Linked DNA regions of Lepisosteus oculatus. The protein of the gene in region 1 purifies or fractionates together with the protein of each later gene. This does not show direct contact. Links are inferred from orthologs where the notes say so. Each region holds a gene or a part of one and is shown on either strand. Other genes may lie near its edges.

What was found.
Region 2: the proteins of nfkb2 (region 1) and map3k14a purify together in Homo sapiens (affinity purification with mass spectrometry; 6 studies listed by BioGRID and IntAct, with this or other methods). This does not show direct contact. The link is inferred for Lepisosteus oculatus from reciprocal best matches to the Homo sapiens genes NFKB2 and MAP3K14.
Region 3: the proteins of nfkb2 (region 1) and nfkbib purify together in Homo sapiens (affinity purification with mass spectrometry; 4 studies listed by BioGRID and IntAct, counting the BioPlex papers as one, with this or other methods). This does not show direct contact. The link is inferred for Lepisosteus oculatus from reciprocal best matches to the Homo sapiens genes NFKB2 and NFKBIB.

What each region holds. Positions count from the first base shown.
Region 1 is NC_090699.1:46,557,161-46,564,378, reverse strand, and holds the start of nfkb2 (nuclear factor NF-kappa-B p100 subunit), read right to left. Parts: upstream 3,002-7,218; 5' UTR 2,729-3,001; intron 1-2,728. UniProt on the Homo sapiens protein: NF-kappa-B is a pleiotropic transcription factor present in almost all cell types and is the endpoint of a series of signal transduction events that are initiated by a vast array of stimuli related to many biological processes such as inflammation, immunity, differentiation, cell growth, tumorigenesis and apoptosis.
Region 2 is NC_090723.1:3,723,841-3,731,368, forward strand, and holds the start of map3k14a (mitogen-activated protein kinase kinase kinase 14), read right to left. Parts: upstream 3,009-7,528; 5' UTR 2,898-3,008; intron 1-2,897.
Region 3 is NC_090698.1:6,487,371-6,494,322, reverse strand, and holds the start of nfkbib (NF-kappa-B inhibitor beta), read left to right. Parts: upstream 1-3,944; 5' UTR 3,945-4,377; coding exon 4,378-4,880; intron 4,881-5,187; coding exon 5,188-5,305; intron 5,306-6,952. UniProt on the Homo sapiens protein: Inhibits NF-kappa-B by complexing with and trapping it in the cytoplasm.

The DNA of each region.
Region 1 (7,218 bases):
GAAAAATCCATGATGAGACCACCATGTAAAGAGATTTGCTACAGACACTGCTAAGCTGGCTGCAAGGGTGTGTAATGAGAACGAGTGTGTCTATATCCTCCGACTTCAACGAGTCACACCTTAATGGTCAATTGGGATTTGAAAGTCCCACCAATAAAAAAATGTGCATGAACCATGAACGCTGCATATAGACTTGTGGCCTGGGCATTGCCTGTAAATGATACTGTACAACAATGAAACCTTTTTTGAGCAAAGTAAGCATTTCTATAATACATAAGCATTTCTTTTTGCACCAAAGCGAGAATTCTGGCCATTTACACAACTCACAAAACCCTGCTGATTAAGGGTGAACCTTAATCTTTATCTTGTTCTGGTCACTATAAAATTGAATCTCATCAATTGTTGAAGTATTGTTAAACAATGAGCTCACTGACATGAGGACAGTTCAAGAATAGCTGTTCCTGTTATAACCAGCACATCTCCTACATTTGATCTCAGAAGAGGGATTAGGGATTGTATTATTTCTCCTCTTCTTTATTTACTAGCAAACAAACACTCCCCCATTTCTATTCTCTAATTCCACATAAAAAACATACAGAATACACATTTACATGTTGGTTAAGTTGTCAAATGTGGATTCTCTTCATCTGAATCAGAATTATCATGAGTGACCTTTCTCACTAGATACCCCCAAAACATACAAGAGCTCAATACATTTTTAATTAATTCACAGAGATGTTATTACTAATGAATCTGCAACAGGTTTAAATGTTTTAAATTATACCACTGGATGATTAATTTAATTAAATAAAATTAATTAAAACCACCTTAAAGAACCCTGAAAGCATATGTACTGTACCTTAATACCCAGACAGGGTAAGGTATAAGGTATGTCCCTCTGATGTTTATAGATTCCCCATCAGAAAAGCCAGGCATTATTGGTATGTAAACATACAAAATTCACAGTTGTAAAGAAGGCAATAGTTTGCTAGTGAGACAAGGAATAAAGGAAGAGGTTGTAATTTCCAAACACAGAGCTTTAACAATGTGATAGACTTAAAAGGGACCACCTGTTACAAGTAATGAATGTATTTTCAGGGAATTCACATAATATAAAGACAATGCCTCTATCAAATAGGGCCCTATGTAGGAGTTAGTTACAGACCCCTACAATACATTGGCTAAGCTATCAACCTGCTTAATTCTGACCTACTGTATCTAATGGAGATCTTGCCACGTGGAACTCAGATGCCGAAGATAATCTCATATTATGTTTGTGTGGAACATAAACATTACAGATCTTCATAGGCTCTTCATATTATAGGCTATGATGTATATAGTGTATGGTGTAGGCTATGGTGTATATAGAAAAATATATTCACACTACATTTAAAAAAGAGAAAGATAAAGATGATTTGACCTCACCGATGCGATACCAATATAAAGGAGTCTATTAAAGACACCATCCATAGAATAAAAAGGTGAAAAAAATTAAAAAGGCTCACTTTGATCCTTGAGATGTGCAATTTTTTTAAAGATACACAAGGTTTGAAAAAGTAAATTTTTATTGCTGCATTGTTGATCCTGACATCTGTCCACTTTTGTGCATTTCCAGCTTTCCAATCATGTATTCAATACCTCTAAGAGTTAACTGTTTCTAGACAAGTGTTTCCTCATGTTCTCCTCTTTGTAATGAAGAATTCTTTTTGTGGAACAAAGACACTGCGAAACACAGTTTCTAGTGTATTGAGGTTAAAGGAGGCTTTGTAGTACAGAACCCAACCAAACTATAAATTAGCGGCCTTGTGTTAATTGTTTTTACAGGCCTGAGAAACGTTAAAAGACGTCTTGATGAAACATTGAAAGGACCGTAAGAGACCCACCAAGATCACCTTTCAGATGACAAGCACACCGGAGAGATGAGCACACCCTTCACCCCTCCAACACACCTTCTGTAAAGCACATCACTTGGAGACAGTGTGTCCTTATTCTTTTCCTAAAACCTGCCAAAGGCCACGTCTGTTGGATTGTATTTATAACTACATGAATAAATCTTAAAGACAGGAAAACTGGAAGGTTGATGGAAAAGGCAAATCAAACTCCAGTTTACAGTTAAAAAATGTAGCCTTGGTAAAATAAATTAATGTGTGCTGTTGTGTCGGAATCCCAGTCCCAGCAAAGTTAGCAGCACAGGAAATACGAGACTGAGGCTCAACTCCTACATGTCTCTCTCCACCGGACACTGTAGAGCGCGACCGTCCCTAGCGACAGTGTGCCGCTGAGCCGTCACAGTAGCCCAGGCTTACGCTGAGGTTGTCCAGACATGAGGGGGCAAACTGCAGGGCTGTCAGCATTTCAAATACACACCATTGCAGTCAGAACAGAGTCGAAACCGTAGGACCCGTGACATACAATATTAACACAACCGACCTTGACGTGTGCATTGCATGCAGTCTACTGTATTTACCTCTGTACATAATTTTCTTGTTTTCTAAATAGAACGAATTTCAACAAAAGTGTTTTTTAAACAATTTCAAGTCGAAATTAACGGCACAGATAGCAAGCTTCTTGACTTCTTATTCATTTTTTGGAGCAACAGTATCAATTTATTATCCGGAGGTCGGGCTGAGCTCCCAAATCTGCAGCTCTCGCATTAATAAGAATGAAATGGTGTGATATCGCAGTGCACAGGCTAGACGCGACATGCATGAATTTGAATATATCTTACCTCTTCTGGTTATTCGGGAGCACCTGGTTGTTTACTGTATCGTTTCAGGAGCAGAGAGATGTTACTGTTCTCCTCCAAGTTTCCACAACCACTATCAATATCCTCACAGAGAACGCAAATCCATAGTTAAAGACAAACTAAAAGACACTGCGGTTTTCCCCCTATGAAATCTTCTATATTGTTCAAGTAGATTAAAGGCAGGTTTTTCAGGGCAGCCCGCTACTTCTGTGTTACACATCAACACTCTGCTTGTGTGCAACTCCGGCAGGCGGAAAGTCCCGGACAGAGAGGGGAATTCCGCACAGTCCGCTGTCACGTCTCCGGGCCGCTCATTGGCTGGCCGCGGAAAAAGTCGGGTTTGCATATACAGTAGATCCCTCCCTAAATTTGCGCTACCAGAAAGTGAGCAAATAAAACGCTGAGTTGAGAAGAGTACATCATGTACACGTCTTTTGACATGTTTGAAGAGTTTAGTGTACTGTCGGGAGTAACGTTTCACAATTCAACTTCTAGATTTCCAACAGGTTTTACTGTGCCGCAAATAATGTATCTCTTGCTGTGGGAGACAGTTTGTAGTTTGTAGTTCGTCCTTTAAACATTTCCTAACACAACAGCATTGCCCCCCGAGGGAGCAAGAAGGAAACCCCCCTAGTTATTTTTTGTTATCATTGTCATGGCTGAAAACAATAATTTTGTGTTTCAGGAACTTAAAAAAAGATGTATGCTGTATGGATATTCCAACACGGAACACCATCTGACAATATTGACCCAAGTTTGTTAAGATGAAAAGCTGTAGTAATATCTGTTTTGGCTGTATGTGTAATAATGTGGCCACAAGCATTACTAGAATGGTTCATACCTGAGTCACCAGCAAGTACTTTGTCAGCATCAGTTGTTTCATTAGGCCAAAGGGATTTTCCTCATTGCTCAGATATTTAATGTGTATGTGAGATTATCAAGTAGGATTGGGTTTACAATAAAGTCATTTGATTTGTGTCTCTCACAGGACTTTTCACTTATAATCATATAATCAAATTCTTTGCTCCTATGGACACCAGTCCCAACAGTGATATCCAGAAGAAGCATTGAATGAAGAATTGTCCTCTTCAATTCTCTTCAGTCCTCTGGAAAGTATTCGCTATCAGGGACAAAAGTAATAAGAGCCAGAGTTATTTGGAAAGTGTGAATGTGTCACTGCTTTTGTTTGTGAAAAAGTCACTCTCAAGACTCATATGCTACTAACAACAGATTAGTACCTATTAGGTTCAAAACTGGTTGAAATGTTGTATTAATATTTTTACTTTCTTTCTAACACATCATAACCCAGGGAGTCAACTATGAAATTTATCTCATTAACTGAGTCACATCTTTCCAGGACTTGTTGGTTCTCACTAGCCTTTCTCAGTTTGGGTTAGGAAGCCGGCAGTCCTGCAGGGCTCAGAAGGGTTTAGGGGATTTTCTGACTTGTGTGTGAAGAAATTACTGCGCACAAGATGGAGCTGTTGTTCCTCTTAATGCCAGAAAATGTTGTATTAGTGATTTCATTCATCATAAACATAATATGTACAGAAGTGCCACTTTTATATCACTTCCAGAAATAGAGCATTGTTGCTAGTGACACAGTCTTTGTCATGATTGGCATCCGTCCTCTTAAAGGGCGCTCCGACCCTTTCGTATTTTAGTTGATTATGTGCACCTGCCTCTTGTTCTGTCCCACTATTTAAGCCTGTCAGCAGTTCAGGGGACACTGCAGTGTGACAGAGGCCAAAGGTGTTACGCCACGACCCTGGAGGAATCAGCATTCCACCTCACATTCCAGCACAATTCCCAATTAGCCCTTTTCCCTAGCCTATTTAATGCTGCCTCACACTCTTCCCGGTGCTCAGTATTAGGGTTTTCCTGGCTAGAGCTACTCCCAGTCTCATTGTTATTTACTACTTGGTTTTTAGTTTCCTGACCCTGGTTTTTTCTCCGTCTACATCTCCTGGTTTCGGTTCTGGTACTTTTGCTCTCGTTCTGGTTTTGGCTCTTGGCTTACTCATGGTTTACTGCTCCACCTCTGGTTATTTGTACGTTTGCACCGGCTAGTTTACCTACGGCTTTCAGACCCCAGATTATTCTTTCAACTACGCCTTTTGGAGTTTGCCCTGGTTTTCTGCATAGGGTCCTCACTACTAATTCCTAACAAAAGGGCTTTGCTTGGAACTGCCACAGCCCCCCCTAGGGAGAATTAAGGCTTTAGCCTGTCTTCCAGTGTCATAGTCATTTCTGAGGTCCAGGGAACTGAACCCATGTGAGCCTGCATTGTGGTCCTTGGCCTCATAGATCCTAAGGGAGTAGATAGGCATCTGTTCTGGTGACTTGTTCTTGGTTGTCCACGCAGAAACAAAATGATCCATCTTTTTCTTCATCAGCACCAAATTAATGAGCCCAGATCCAGCACTGGACATGCTCTGGAGTTCCTCTCCTGTGGCCTGCTACTTGGCCAACTCTGAGTATCAGGGGGCAGGTGGACGGGGGTGTCACCATCTCAGTACGGTGCTGCTCCAAGCTGGTGTGTGTACAGTCTTTATCCCGTGTCCCAGAAAGCCCACAGAAGCTCTTTCAGCTGCTGCTGCATTGGGTGGAGGCCCCACTGGCTTCTTTACCACAGATCTGGGATGACCCTCTCGGTGGCTGTGGACCCTCCATGGGTGAGGAACATTCTTGCTTCACTGCAGGCCTATACATGGGCATGTAACTTGTGTTTTCAAGCCCATAGAGGTGTTCTGTCCCCCCTTCACACTTGTGTTTTCTTGGGAGTGTTATGGGAGCCCCCCATGGTGGTCCTCCACCAGTCGCCTGTGCAGAGACCTGGACTAGCCTGCCACTCAGGTGTTGCAGGTTCAGCCCACACTCTCACTTCTTTAGGGAGTGGATCTGGTCTGCTGAGACCAGCTGCCTCGGCCATATCAATTCTCAATCCTGCCGGTTGGAGAAAGTCCCAAGAGACCTAGACTAGCACCAGAACCAGAATTAGCCTGGTGCAGCCTCCTACACAGGCAGCACCTTCTGCCCAGCATGGCTTTCATGCAGCTCATCTCTGAACTCTTCCAGACTGAAGTGTCCTTTGCCCCCACAGTACCAAAGCTATGCATCAGAGTCGACAGGGGAACGGTGGTGCCAGTAACGACCAAGGCCTCCTGCACACCTACAGCCACACATGAACTGCGGCACCCTCACCCACTCAAGGGCTCATTCGTGTGGGACAGCTCTCCTCCTTTACAGCTGGCCTGTTCCCCTTTCCTGAGTCACTTCTCTGCCACAGAAGCACTCCGCTATGTACCCCTGCTGTCCGCAATCAAGGCAGCATGTGCCTCCCTCTCCATCGGTCTACACCCTCCACCTCCATTGGGTGGTTGTTTCAGGGGCTGCTCTGCATCCACCACCCTGCCACCCCACACTGCTTCTTTTACCACACAGTTTGTGCTAGAATAGCCTCTGTCCTCTATGCTAGTTCAGTGTCTGTATCTAACATGTAGGCAACAAAGTCTAGACCAGACTGATTCACAATTTAAATGATTTGACTTCTAATATGGAGTCTGAAGTAAAAAAAATATATTTGATAAAAGATTAAGTTTTGATTCACACATCAATAATATTACAAAGGAACAAGTAATAGGTTTATTCCATGCTGAAAAGAGAAGAAAGAAAACACAATGTTTCAGCTGTGGAGCCTTCTTTGGGTGACACCAGAAACATTGTGTTTTCTTTCTTCTCTTTTCAGCATAGAATAAACCTATTACTTGTTCCTTTGCAGCCTACGCATACTGCCCCCATGAAATAATATTACAAGGCAGTCCTTGGCTCACCTAAGAAATCTTGCTAACATAAGCTTCTTTGCTTGCTGAGGCTGAGTAACTAGTTCATGATTTTGTTCCAACTACTATAACATTCTATTTTCTGATCTCACTAACAAGGTTCTGTTTTGACTGCCACTTTTGCCAAATGCAGCCTCGAGAGTCCTCACAGAGACAAAACTAAGACCTCATGTCACTTCTGTACTGGCTCGGTGTAACCTAGTAGTGATTCAAAGTGATTAAAAGATGACCTTGCATCTGTAAAAAGTGGTTTATGTTTAAAATGCTTCTTTTGTTAGCAATATGTCCTTGTAATTCTGGCATAATTACAAGGATATAATGCATAGACTGCAAGCAACTATAATTTTTTTTTTATTATTTACAAAGGCAAGAGTGGAAAGTTATATGGTTGCTGGATGAGGAGAGCTGCTAGAATTGTAACTTCTGTTATCTGGCTATAAAGAGAGCTCAGCCAAGGGAAACTGACAGAGAAAGAAAAAGAGAGAGAAACCGTTTCTTCCTCTCATGCCATTGTGCCTGATGGCCCAATGATTGCTTCACCTCTGTAACCTGCAATTTTCTTTTCCCAATCTCCTGAAGAGGGGTAACCTCGCCCATTCACCATTCACTCATTCACTAGACTTCAAACAT
Region 2 (7,528 bases), on another chromosome or scaffold:
CTCGATGTTAGACAACCAAGCATTTTAACACTGTAGTGGAGGATGTTAGGATAACATTACCAGGAAAAAATGCAATTACATGGCAACATTTTTCATCCCATTGTGGAACAGCAGAATGAACAGAGCTATCGTGTAAGACTAAGAAATGAGCTTCCCCTAAAGTGCAGTGTTGAAAAGAACTGCACTTAGCTCTCCTTCATTAAATGGAATGCTAAGCTGCACTCACAAGTGACTCATCCACGCCTACTCAAATGTACAGCATTCTTTGCATTTGTGTAAAGAGAACCCTGGGCTGCATTTCTATGAGGCTGTGTTATTCTAACCACCCCCAAACTGTGTTGGAGTGTGTGCCAATTTCAGTCCCTGGTAGGATTCATCAGATTTCCACAGGCATGACTGGAATACTTCAAGGGCAAGGGCCTGGTTAATGACTGGAGTTCAAAACTCTGCAGCACACCCTTCATAAAGACCGGCAAGCTGCAGGCATCATGAATTGTAATATTCATATACAGCCAGCAGCCATATCACCCTGCAACTCACAACTGGCAACCCACTGAATCAGGTGTGAGCCTGATCAGTACCTGGATGGGAGACTCCCTGGGAAAAACTAAGGCTGCTGCTGGAAGAGGTGTTAGTGGGGCCAGCAGGCGGCGCTCACCCTGTGGTCCATGTGGGTCCTAATGCCCCAGTATAGTGACGGGGACACTATACTGTAAACAGGCGCCGTCCTTCGGATGAGACGTAAAACCGAGGTCCTGGCTCTCTGTGGTCATTAAAAATCCCAGGGTGTTTCTCGAAAAGTGTAGGGGTGTTACCCCGGTGTCCTGGCCAAATTTCCCATTGGCCCTTACCAATCATGGCCTCCTAATAATCCCCATCTATGAATTGGCTACATTACTCTGCTCTCCTCCCCACTGATAGCTGATGTGTGCTGAGCGTTCTGGCGCACTATGGCTGCCGTCGCATCATCCAGGTGGGGCTGCACACTGGTGGTGGTGGAGGGGAGTCCCCATTACCTGTAAAGCGCTTTGAGTGGAGTATCCTGAAACAGCGCTATATAAGTGTAAGTAATTATTATAATTACAAACAACAACGTGTAGTATCCACCCATATGTATATATAGTATATATGTATATACTGTACTGTATATCAGTCAGACCCAGAAGAATGTGGGATGTTTGGATCATGAAACCACTGAAGTGGATCACTTCTTTAAAGGTACAGTTACCTATAAATCACTGGAGACCCTGGTTAGAAATGTGTAGTTGGTCTATTTAATTAACTGTGTAGTTAATTAAATAATTAGACCAACTGTGTAAAAGAGACATCAGGCCCTCTAGGGACTGAGTTTGAGACCCCTTGTCTAGTAGAAACAATGTTTCAATACAAACACCAAAACCTTTCTCATAAGATCACTTTTTTTAGCTCAGTGATTTTTGTTGTAGTATTTATAGTTTGTTTTTACTTACTTTACCTACACAATCCTGCACTCGTCTACAATAAATATCATCTGCCAGGTGTTTGCCAAGTCTTGAATTGTATCTTAAGCACTTCAAATTTCATTTGCTGCATCTGCTGCGTATGATATTGCTTTGAGTACACACGTAAATACTGGATAGTTACAAAACAGGTACCATTACAGATTGATCTTTAATTAAGTCAGTGTGTAGATATACTCAGTGAACACACGGGCACTAATTATAAATCGCAGTGGACTTTGCAAAAGCTCACTGACAAAACCTTTAGCACTGAACTGTTTTACCTCACCCTGCTGTCCAACGTGTGAATCAGCTACCTGGACAGCATTTCAGAAAAATCACAAGACTAGTGGTGCCTGCAACGTTCCTTTAGCCTTTTAATTCCTTCAAAATGAGACGAGTTTGCAAAAAAATTGAACACTAATACAATAACAAATTATACACTACGTCTTTAATAAATAGTATCGATAAGTGTTCTAATAAATGTATTGGTATTGTACAAGCTACAAATAAAATATAGACAAATATAAATTATTATTAGTCTAAATGAGTACCCTTTACATTTAGATATTCCAAAATATAATGCATTAAAACGCACTTCTCAGAGATACATTGTTACTACTGTACAGTATATACGCTTGCCCTCTAACTTCTTAAACAGTTTGTGTACAGAAATAACATCATACAAATAACAGAAAACGACAACAAGCTGTTTGTTTAGGCAATAACATTTAAGGTTCAACGCAACATAAGTATAACCTAATCAAAACAGCAAAATCGTAAACCTTCAAATATTAAACATTACATTTAATGAGTTTTGCAATGTCAACAATCGTAAACTGGCTCACATTAACTTTAACATAGTTGTTAATGAATCAATGTCTTTCTGAAAATTAATTGCTATATTGCGCGTAACTACGTCAGAAAGTATTTATAATTGTTTTAGGGTACACTGCATAAACAAACATTTATAAAAAGCAAACCATCTTATTTATTAAAACAATGACGATGTGTTCTGAGAAGCACGAGTTTCACAAAGCGGGTGTCGGATTCCGTCCGTTTACCGACAGAAAGGGGGGCAGGTAAAGATCTCTGTCATATATAGTTACAAAATACGGCTAATCACGTTGAAATGCCCTTTCTTTGGATCCTGTCCAAACTCCCCGAAGTACAAGAAGGTACACTTTCCAAAACCACGCCATATTCGGAACAGAAAAAGTCCGTGATGGCTTTTAAAATCCGGAGAGATTCAGAAGAAGAAAAACGTCTCATGTTGCTGTACGGTACCTACTTCCCCTTTTCCAGCCATCTCCGCCATTTTATGTATAAAATATATATTTTTTTGGTCCTAAAAATTAGTTTGCTTTATCTTGCAACCCTTTGAAATACCGAACCGAGTAAAAATGGACACGAACTCACCCGAGATCTTCGCTGTATTTTGTCTGGAAGAGTTGCTTGCACGGCTCGGGAGTTCTCCCGGTTCGGCCAGGGGCACAGCACTGACAACAAAATGTCTTGTCTCAACGATACACATTACATCATTAACAAGAGGATGTGACAGATAGAAAACGAAAGTATTTCTCGTGGTTTGTTTTTTAAACAGGAGGTCGTTTTCTAGCTGGGTTTGTGGCTCAGGCTGTTGAATGTTAACTTGATATTTTCTCTCTACAATGAGAAATATCTGCTCAGTGAAACCGGGTTTTCTTTCTGTTACCTCGCGTAAAACGTACAGTAGTGAAAATCATGCATCTGGGCAGCATTTCCTTTCTGAAGCAGCAAAAGGCCAATGTGTAAATCCTCTGCCTCATGATGTCATATTAGAAAATAACTGAAATACTGTATATTACACCAAAATATCGTCGGCTGTATAGGTTTGAGCCTATAGACACCTACTTTTAAAATCTCTCACAAATCCTAAGGTGAAGCTAAGAGAGTTTCTGTTGGAATGACACCCTCAGACGTTCCACAGAACTCATTATGCAGGACTACTGGTATAAAGCATTTCAGCATAACAATGTATTGTAAGGCCCACACATAGACACAAAGGACAAAATAAAGAGACACCAATCAGCCTATCCAGGCTTTCTTTTGGACCGTGCGATGAAACCAAGAGAACAAACTCCACTTAGAACACACTCCTGGCTAGAAGTGAACCCTGTACCGTTCGCCTGGGCACCACAGAAATTATTTCAGTGACAGGACTGATTTAAGTAATGGCTGCTCCGCGATGTCTTGAACTACATTGAGCTACACTGACGTGAGGGAACTGAATCCTTTTAGTCTTGAACAGGGGAGACTGCGGGGGGACCTGAAACAGATTTGAAATCCTCCAAAGGCATTGAAAAACAAAATCAACCCACCAGAGTTCTTCGGAATTCACTGTGACAAATGACCCCGCAGGAACAAGTGTAAAGGACATGGAAGTTTAATTTAAAACTAAGGACAGGGCGCACTGCTTTACGCACAGGGTTGTGGGAGCTGGGAACAAGCTACCCAGTCACGTTGACCCTTGTTTCCATCACACAATGACTGGAGGAGATCCTTGGATCAATTAGCTACAAACTACCAATCAGTTTGTATGGGCTGAATGGCCTCTTGGTTGCAACTGTTCTTGTGCTTCAGCTAAAGTAGAAATCTCTGCAACTTGCAACCTATGAGGTTAATATCTGGGCAACTAGTGAAAGCCGTAGTAAGTTCTCCCTGGACACCTCTCAAGTACAGACAGATTACTTTATCCTTACAAAAATAACTTGACGGTTTCTACAGACATGCCCTGTGGATTTTCGAAAGAGACTCTGGAAATTTCTATAGAGAGGTTCCAAGTGTTAATGTATTACTAAGACACCTCCAATGTGCTGGAAAGCTTTCGTCGTGGTTCCCGAAACTGAAGTAGCTGATATACTCCCTCACGCACACATTGTCCTGCACCCTCGCTAGAATCAACGGCCCAAATTCACTGGTTAACAATTTGCCCGCGGAGAAGTTTAATTTTGTGTGCGTATATGTCACCCTCAGTTTTAAATTTAATCAGCTCTTAATGATGTACCTGTATATTCTGGACAAAACACATTTTGAGATACACAAGGTATGAGAAGGAAAGGGAGAATAGTTCAGCGTCTTCCCAATTCGGGGTTAGACTGCCCTCTGCTGGAAAGTTTATATTCCTGCAGCGCTCGTCATCCCAGAGCGGCGCAGAGCTCTGACGTAACTCGCAGCAGTCTGCACCTGCAGCCCAACTGCGCAGCAGATCGGCTAGGGCGTGCTGAAAATCTGCTTCGGCAATTGAATTAAGAGGGAACTTTAGGTTAAAATGAACGTTTTTATCAAGAACATGTTTATTTGTTCTTTTGCGGCTTTAATAATTTTCATTGTCCCTCTCTCCAGGACAGTGTAATTGAATCTCCTCAGTAATATTGGCTACACTCTGTGCCCCGTACAGAGTATTTTGCGTCATTTCTTATTTCAACAGGCTGTAGTATAACCCCAAGCCAGTGTATTGCACCAGTGTAAACAATTCTGCAAGACAAAGCTTCTGTTCCAAAGAGCAGTGCAGAATAAGATGATGGAATTCTTCAATCTTGTATCAGAAGAAGATTCAATCTTCAATCTCTAAAAAAAGGCGCCATCCTTTGGAATGAGATGTAAAACCGTGGTCCTGACTCCCTCTGGTAATTAAAAATTCCAGGGCATTTCTCAAAAAGAATAGGGGTGTTACCCTGGTGTCCTGGTCAAATTTCCCCCTGGCCTTTACCAATCATGGCCTCCTAATAATCCCCATCTATGAACTGGCTTCATCTCTCTTTTCTCCACCCCACTGGTAGCTGGTGTGTGGGGAGTGTTCTGGTGCACTATGGCTACAGTTGCATCATCGAGGTGGGACTGCACACTAGTGGGTGTGGAGGGGATCCCCATTACCTGTAAAGCGCTTTGAGTGGAGTGTCCAGAAAAAGGACTATATGTGATAAGAAAACTTTATTGGCCAGATACAATTTCTTGCATTAGGAATTTGTCTTTTCGCAGACCCCAGCCTGCTCTCCATGAGACACACAGGCAGGGAGAGAAGCTGGGGGTCAGAGCACAGGGTCAGCCATTGTTCAGCGCCCCTGGAGCAGGTGGGGTTAAGGGCTTTGCTCAGGGGCCCAACGGAGTAGGACTCCTCTGCCAGCCACAGGATACGAACCGGGAACCTTCCAGCCACAGGTGCAGAGCCTTAACCACAGTGCCTCTGCCCCGCCCCCTCATGTGGATAGATAAGACTTAATTGATCCCAAAGGGAAATTGATTAAATTGATGTATAAGTGCAAGCAATTATTATTATTATTATTATTATTATTATTATTATTATTATTGTTGTATTTGGTTAATATTAACAAAAACAAATGAGGGTGGTAAAGAAGTGACTAAAAAACTTTGTACTGTCTTTCTGGTAAAAGACCCAGCTAGCTGTTCGGTTTTGGAAGTTGCCTGTAAGGGGGTATGCTAGTCTATAAAGTCATAATAAGGGGTTAACATTAGAAGGCCAAGGAGGTTTTTGAATGTCTGCTTGCCACATCAATACCTATCGTCGTCACCTAGTAACAAGCCTGGCTCAGCTGGGAATGTTGGGACATGCTTGGAATGAACATGCGATCAATGCCCTGACCAGACCAATCCTACCTGCGGTTCGGGATAACGAACGCGTAGTAGGCCGTGGGGTTCTTCCGTGAAGGCCGTTCACAGAATGGTCAGCAGGGGGCGCACCTCGACCTACGATCCGATTTCAAGTCTGACTTTCCTAATTGATCGTTATTTTTCTCTCTTTTCAGGGGAGACTGCCCGTCTCTGCTCACGGTGACACGTCAAAATAAAACCTTTGCGATAGTAAATGAGCATTGCACAACATTACTCTTCCAGTGGCTCCTCAGTTACTAACGGTTTTGGTTTAAAAAAAGGCACTCTTCCTTATAACAGTTCATATCCAGCACGGTGGACAGCATACTACGTCAGTGAAGTGCAGTATAAATGCAGCGCAAGATCAAGTGGCATCAGTGATGCACAATACAAAGCAAGCAAGTAAAAGAGCAGAACGAAAGCTGTTTGTGAGCTGATGTTTTGTAGTGGGCAGTGTTCTACAGGGAACAAGGGACACAGCCCTGTTGTTTCTGGGTCCATACTGGTCCTGGTTCACTGCCGACTCGGTGTAGCACTAGGAACGGTCTGACAGACTCAGCTGTGCGGCAGACTTAGACACTTTCCATTGTTCAGCTCTTACCACTCAGGGTTTTCCTTTCTTTCCGCTGAAGCACAACACCGGTTATTCTCTGCCTTCGGAATTGTAGCCACTTGGCTTTAAGTCCTATCAGATCTCAGTGCTGTAGAGCGAAATGTTGCCTTTGAGCACGATGGATGTGTAGAGAGGAACACACTATGTGAATAACAAGCCACACCCGGCCAGAATTTATTTGACTGGTAAACGTAAATGGGTAAACACTTCACATATTTTATATATAATTCAAGTATTCAAATGCCTCAGAGACGTTGGCATTGTAAACTCTTCAGAATCAACACCGAGACACGAACCCCAGCACACAAGTGTAATTTGCAAGAAGGTACATTTAAAACTGGGAACAGAGGGCACGTTTTACACAGAGTTCTGGCTGTCAGCAATAAGCTACTTAGCCATTTTGTTGAAGCCGATACCATTTATTTTTTCAAGAAATGTCTGAATGATATCTATGGATTTGCCTCTACCATCCATGGGGATTAGATGGTCCACTTCGTGTTTGTGGTCTTTTTAAATGTTCTTATATGCTGCTCATGATTGGTTTAGTTTGAGTATGATGATACAAATGTTCTGAAGTGTTTTTCATTCATGTGAATGACCAATGACTACATGACAAGCTTGTTTTTTCTCTCACTCAATCTAAGCTGTATTAATAACTAAATTTTTATCATTGTACCAAATACCAGTGGAGGTTTTGAGTAACTTGCTGATGCACATCACCTTCATATACTGTAACACCTGATTGTGTCCAAGCCTTTTCCACAGTAGTGTATATAATAATACGGAT
Region 3 (6,952 bases), on another chromosome or scaffold:
CCTGTGTGTAACGCAGCATTGTAATTAAACTTCAGATGTCCTGCTCACGACTGCAAGAGCTCGTTTTCATACGGCTAGGACTTACGTGAGTGAGCGGGATAGAGATTGGCGTGTTATTCAGAGGAACAGGGCTGAATCTGACCAGGGTCTGTATCTTACCACCATGTCAAGGTCCTTTAAGGAGTGTTACACCTGTGTCATGTAATCAGCAGGAAACACCCGCACAGCACTTCGACAGCGAAGGCAGGCAGTGGCGCAAAACACAGCGCTGATGGAGAAGGAACAGGTAGTGGGTTTATTCCAGGCTGGAAAGGGGAGAAAGGACACACAACGTTTGGGCTGTGGAGCCTTCTTCAGGTGTGAGAAAGACAGGGCAGGCGGCGAAGATTAAAGAGCAGAATCTTGGGTCCAGGAGAATCTGGGTTTGGCGGCCAGGCTGCGCCGGGCCTCCTCCTTAACCTGAGTTCATGTTTCAGGCGTGAGTGATCACCCCCCTTCATTCACATCTGAAATGAGCAAACGCACCAGAAAAAAAACGCTTTCTGGGGCAAATGAGTGTTAGTCCACTTCGGAAGCGGATGTACAGCTCATGGAGCAATCCGTATTACACATCCTCCACCGGGAGATAATATTCTAATGCTCTAATACCAGTCTTCACCGCGGAGGGCACGAGTCCATTCGTTAACGGCCATTGGCCAGAGGAATATTCTTAGAACGGCAGAACCCAGTATGACGTCACCACGTGATAATGCGCCCTTTGATTTCCGCTTGTAAAGCACAGAATTAAACTCCACCCCTCGTCCCCCCCCCCCGTCTCCGCTTGTCACCAAGGAGACACCACTGCTGTTGTCATAGCGACGACACCCCCCCCACACACACACACACTCCCCACATTACATTCACACATTCCCCGGTACACACAGTCACTAGGTTGATTTTTTCCTGCTGTGACCTCTTAATCGCGTTCTAAAAAACACCGTCCGTTCAAAAAAGCACACGTCCCCCCAGGCTGACGCAGACCGCGAGAGGAAGGTGCAGACCTTGTATTCAAGGATTTGCTTAAATTCGCCTTTTTTTTCTAACCCAGATTTAAAACGAAGACCTGGTACAGGGCAATAGAATTACTGTGATTTCGGTTTATGCTGTGTGTGATTGAATCCGTGTCTTAAGTCATTTTAAAGCCAAGGTTATAAGTTAATACCCTTCAGAAAACAGGGATAAATAAAACCGGCTGAGAGCAGCGAGGGTGCCGGGGCTGTTGCCTGGGCACGGTGCACAGCGCCCCCGCCTGGACACACCCCGCACTGCGTGCTGCCACAAACCCGGTGTTCCTGCGGTTACGTCCATCTGGAACCCGGCGCGTTAGCTCTGTGACCGCGGGTTTGAGGGCGGATCTGCGTGCTGCGGGTGGTGAACACCCCCGGCACAATTACGACTTGCAGAAAACGTGGCCTGTTGAGAACTCGTAGCAGGTGCTGCCGGTTTCTGCAGACGCGCCTGGGACCGGCGGCGGGGTTGGACGGGAACCGGCGCGGAGCTGAGCGAGCCCGTCGGCAGAGCCCGGTCGCGCCTCGTCTCCGCGAACAAAGAGAATCGGCTCGGGGACGGATTTCTGAAGCTTGGGCGCCACCCAGCGGACAGATTGAGAAAATTCTAACTGTAATACAACTGTAATACAATTGGAGAATTGGGGTTGCACGACAGGACTCCCCAGTGTTCGTTTTTACTTTATATATATATATATTTTGTGTTTTCTAAGCCGTGTGCTGCAGTAGTTTAAGCGTAAGACTGCCCACAGATCATATTGAGTTTCTTTACATATAACGCGAATTAGTGTACACCAGGGTGTCATTATGATATGTTTTTGCACATAAGCATTTCGTATCACACGAATCCTCTCGTATCGTACTGTAAGCTTGTTGGTTTCAGTTGGTCTGGCTCTTGCCTCTGGGTATTTTACTGCTACAGTTCAGGTGCCGTGGGTTCGTCACACTCCAACACCAGCGTCTCACTTCGGATTCGAACCCACATCCTTTACCACTCCTCCATAATGCTGCCTTATACGTTAAAAAAACAATAATACGTTGTGTGTAAGAGTATTACGGACAGAAAATAGATACTCTGTTGCAATTCCAGCCATCCCTGTTCTAATCCCTTTATCCAACACAGGGTCACGGAGAGACAGGACCCATCCCAGTGAACAAGGGGCACAAGGCGGGATACACGCCGGGCTGGACACCAGTCCATCACAGGACCCACACACACACACACACACACACACACACACACACACACACACACACACACACACACACACCAGGGCAGCTCTTCCCAGAGGCCAAATAACCTGCCAGTACTTTTCTGGACTGTGAGAGAAAGCCCCACGCAAACTCCACACATACAGCACCCCAGGAGCTGACCTGTGAGGCAGTAATGATAACCACTCCTCTAGGGAGGCTCGGTTTCATGAAGGCATTACAATTGATGTTGTAGGGTGATGCAGAGAGGGGCCACTGGTTAAGACGGAGATGTGTTTTCCCAGTGGAAGATCCGTAAACTAACTTGAACTGTCAGGGCTCGGTCTGCAGACAGAGCCAATGAAGGAACCGATCAAGGTCCGGGCTCACAGTGAGGCAGAGGGCACGGCCGCGATGAACCTGACGGCCGAACGCTATAGGACATCAATGTTCCCGGGAGCAGTACTAGAGTATTTTGTGATTCACGCAGAAATAACATTTAAAACGCTGACATTGGGGACGTAAGGCAGCTAGCATTGGTGCCACACAGCGCTGGGGCCCCGGGTTCAATTCTGGACCTGGGGTACTATCTGTGTGGAGTTTGCGTGGTCTCCTTTGCTCATGGCTTGGCCCTGGTGTGTGTTCTGTCCTGGGTGTGTCCTAGGTGTGCCTATTGCTTGCTGGGATAGGCTACAGCCCCCTTGGGGAAGATGGATGTTACTGTATATTTAAACGGGCATCCATTCGCTAACCCAGTCATTAGGGTCCTGTAGTCCTGCATGTTCCCTGTTTTTTTTTCCCAGTATTTAGGCCTGCTGTGCAAAGATGAATTAATCTGGGTCCCTTTATCCTTCATTTCAAACTTTAATGAAAACCACAGAAAATCGGGTCAGTTTGAAAGGAAGCTGTTTCTTTGAAAATACCACCCTGGCTGAGCTGTTGTACCTTTCTGACCTTGTCTGACATCCGACAGATTACAGTGTTGTTTTTTCCTGTTTAATAGCCTCGTTTAATAGCACAAAATGAAGCAAGGGGAAAGGGAAGAGATGTTCTTCACCCATTGTCGAACCACAGTGGTACGTGGTGTCTGCTTTGAGAAACGGGAGATTTTAAACATACAAAGACAGCTTCTCGATGTTTTCATTTAATTTGCTTTGTGCTATCGTAAGTGCAAAGTTCAGTGGACTGGGGAGTCTCGAGTGTCTCCGCACGTCTGGCTCAGTGCTGAACCACACAACAACTGTGGGCGCTTTCATTTAAAGTCGTCTTGCTGTTGTGGTTCTGCTCGTCACTGTAGAGTCTCTTTCAGATCCGTCAGTTGCTGTAAATAGTCTCACCCAATCAGGTATACAGGGTATGTTCTGTATGTCACGGAGAACACACAGTTCTTCAGTCTGTAGGCGGGCGATTTGAAAGAACGCGTTACTTTATTTACGGATCTCTTCCTAACTTCATGCACAAGAAGAAACAAATCCAAAACTTTGCTTCCCGGCAATAGAAAGGACAAGTGCTTTTTATATCGGAAATTAGACAGAATAAACCGGCCATATTTATATAAGTAATCATATGATGTTTGCCTGCCTTTATTATGAACTATACACAATCAATCTCGTCATCGCTCACGTCTTTTCCTTAAACTTTATAAAGGATTATCCTAAAAATGTAACTTTTTTTTCTCATCAAAAGTACATTTTTAAAAGTGTTTGCCATTGCGTGCTTGTCAGGAAAGCCTGTCGAGTCCGTGGGCTTCGGCGCAGCGTGCGTGGGAAATGACGTCACCGCGCTCGGTTTTACTGTAAACTTCCTCTCGAGCGGGTAGGCGTGTCCTGCGTGCGCCGTGATTGGTCGGCAGAGGGGTTGGGGATTCCCCCAGATTCAGAAAGAAAAACAGTAATTTTCCAGACTCGAGAGCGAGCAATCTGGTTCAAAGAGAAACTGAAAACAACGGATTTTCTGCGCAAGGGGGACCGCTGAACCCCCGAAACATGAAGACCGAGCCCAACGAAGGGGGCAGCTAGAAAAAGCACTCTCACCGATCCGCGGTTCCGAGCTGCACGAAACCTTAAAAGGCGATCTGTCACGCTAGCTCCCCTGCCAGGCTCTCGCCTCTTTCCCCTCGCAACCCGTTTTATTCTCCCTAATGGCTGACCTGCAGCAGCAACAACCCGAACCCCGGCCGCCCGGGTCGGGCAAGGCCCGTGCACAGCGCCCACAGTGTGGGGTCGGCTTCGGCGGCAAGCCCGTGGGGCTGGATGTCGAGGCGGAGGACTGGTGCGACAGCGGGCTGGATTCGTTCAGCTGCTCCACGCTGGGTTCCGAACCCGACCCGATGGGCGCCTGGAAGACGGCACCAGCCAGCACCAGCCTGGGGCCGGCCCGGGACCCGCAGGACTCTGGTGGGCCCACCTGCCCGGACCCCCAGACATCCGACACCTGTGTGTCTCTGGGTGGAGACAGGTTGGACTCGGCGCTGGGGGACTCCATCACGGACGAGCTCCTGGGCAGTCTCTCCGAGGGGATCGGCACGCTCGGTCTGGGCGATGCTGGAGGGGGACCCGGCGGTCCCGGCGGCCGAGCCCAGGAGCTGCTGATGACGGAGGAGCTGTTCAACACGCTGACTTTCGTCTCGGAGGACGGGGACACGTGAGTGGCGCACCTTCGCCGCATAAATCGTTTTTAAAAGCCGTTCGAGTCTCCCTCCTGCTGGGGATCTGACTCCGTGCTCTGCCTTGAGCTGAAATGTGGGGTAAAACGCGCCTGCGGGTAGTGACCGTGTTTTAGGGACCTTTGTTGAGGTGTGGGGGTTCTCGGGGGTCACCCGCTCGCCCTGCTGCGGTTTCCCAGGGGCGAGGATGATGGCTCGCACGTGTGAGGTGGCGTCCAGTGTTAGTGGCCTTCGTGTCCAGTCGGCTAGTGCGAACTCGGTTACCTCTTCTCCCTCCTCTGTCAGTGCTCTACACCTGGCGCTGATCCACGAGCACTGGGCCTTCCTGCAGTACCTGCTGAGCGTGGTGTCTCTGGACCCAGCCTGGACCCAGTACCTGGACACACAGAACCACCTGGGCCAGGTAACTACCCCGCACGCGTGCACATTGGGCTCACAGGTGTTGCAGTATGCTGTGGTCTGTTCACCCTGGGCAGTGTGTGTTAAGTAGTCTCTTAACACTGCAGTGTCCAGTCAGTGTGTCTGTATTAACCCCTCTCTCTCTCAGTGCAGTGTTAATGTACTGGAGTGTCCAGTCAGTGTGTCTGTATGAACCCCTCTCCCTCAGTGCAGTGTTAATGTACTGGAGTGTCCAGTCGGTGTGTCTGTATGAACCCCTCTCTCTCTCAGTGCAGTGTTAATGTACTGGAGTGTCCAGTCGGTGTGTCTGTATTAACCCCTCTCTCTCTCAGTGCAGTGTTCATGTCCTGGAGTGTCCAGTCAGTGTGTCTGTATTAACCCCTCTCTCTCAGTGCAGTGTTAATGTACTGGAGTGTCCAGTCAGTGTGTGTGCATTAACCCCTCTCTCTCAGTGCAGTGTTAATGTACTGGAGTGTCCAGTCAGTGTGTGTGCATTAACCCCTCTCTCTCGGTGCAGTGTTAATGTACTGGAGTGTCCAGTCAGTGTGTGTGCATTAACTCCTCTCTCTCAGTGCAGTGTTAATGTACTGGAGTGTCCAGTCAGTGTGTCTGTATTAACCCCTCTCTCTCTCTCAGTGCAGTGTTAATGTACTGGAGTGTCCAGTCGGTGTGTCTGTATTAACCCCTCTCTCTCTCAGTGCAGTGTTAATGTACTGGAGTGTCCAGTCAGTATTAACCTCTCTCTCAGTGCAGTATTTTCCAGTGTGTCTGTATGAGCCACTCTGTTTACGCTGGCACAGATATTCTGTAACGAGAGAACAAGAGGAAGTGTCCCAGATTATTTTTGTCAGTGGTGCCCCAGAATGCACCCTCTGGTGTTCTTAAGGAATGAGCTCATGTTCCAGTCCAGCCAGGGCGTGTTAGTGTAAACACACCGCTGTCACGTTCAGTCGGACTGGAGGAAATTCCCAGGGAGAGCTGCCTGCCTCCCGGCAGCGCTGTCATGTTCCCAAACTTCTTTCTGACGTTGGAGCTGGAGGAGGAAGCGCAGGCAGCCAGACCGATACCCCGACTCCCCTGGGCTGGGGCTCCCTTGCCACATCAGGTGATGGTGTCACGTCCACGACACGTCAGCCTGCCTTTGGACTGGATAGCGCACGTTCCCAGGCTGTGCTCAGTACTGGTGGGGGACCGGACGTGCTGGAGGAAGTCTCTTCCTGTAGTTAAAGAGGAACTGCAGCCCAGTCTCTCATGAAGCGCTAGGGATACCAGTCACCCTGGTTTCTCTCCTCCCTTCCCTCTTGGAAGAGTAACAGGAGCACGAAAGCACGAACGCCCCGATTCAGAGGCGGTTTCTTCCCGCTAGCTGTCAGATTACTGAACTCTACCCCTACCACCGGCGCACACTGATGGAGTTTTTTCTCATACTGCTTGTCTGACTTCTGTTTTTTATTCAACTCGTTGTTGTTGCTGCTGCTGCTGTTCTGTGTTTGTGTTTCTGGTGATTGTCTTTGTATCGGCGCATACATGCCAATAAGCGTTTCGTTGCACCCGTGCGTACGACAGATAGACTGAGCCGCACTTCTTAAATCTCGGGAGCCAAATAAATTCGTCGACGTCGAGGAAAAAAGTGAAAGTGCTGTGAGTCTCC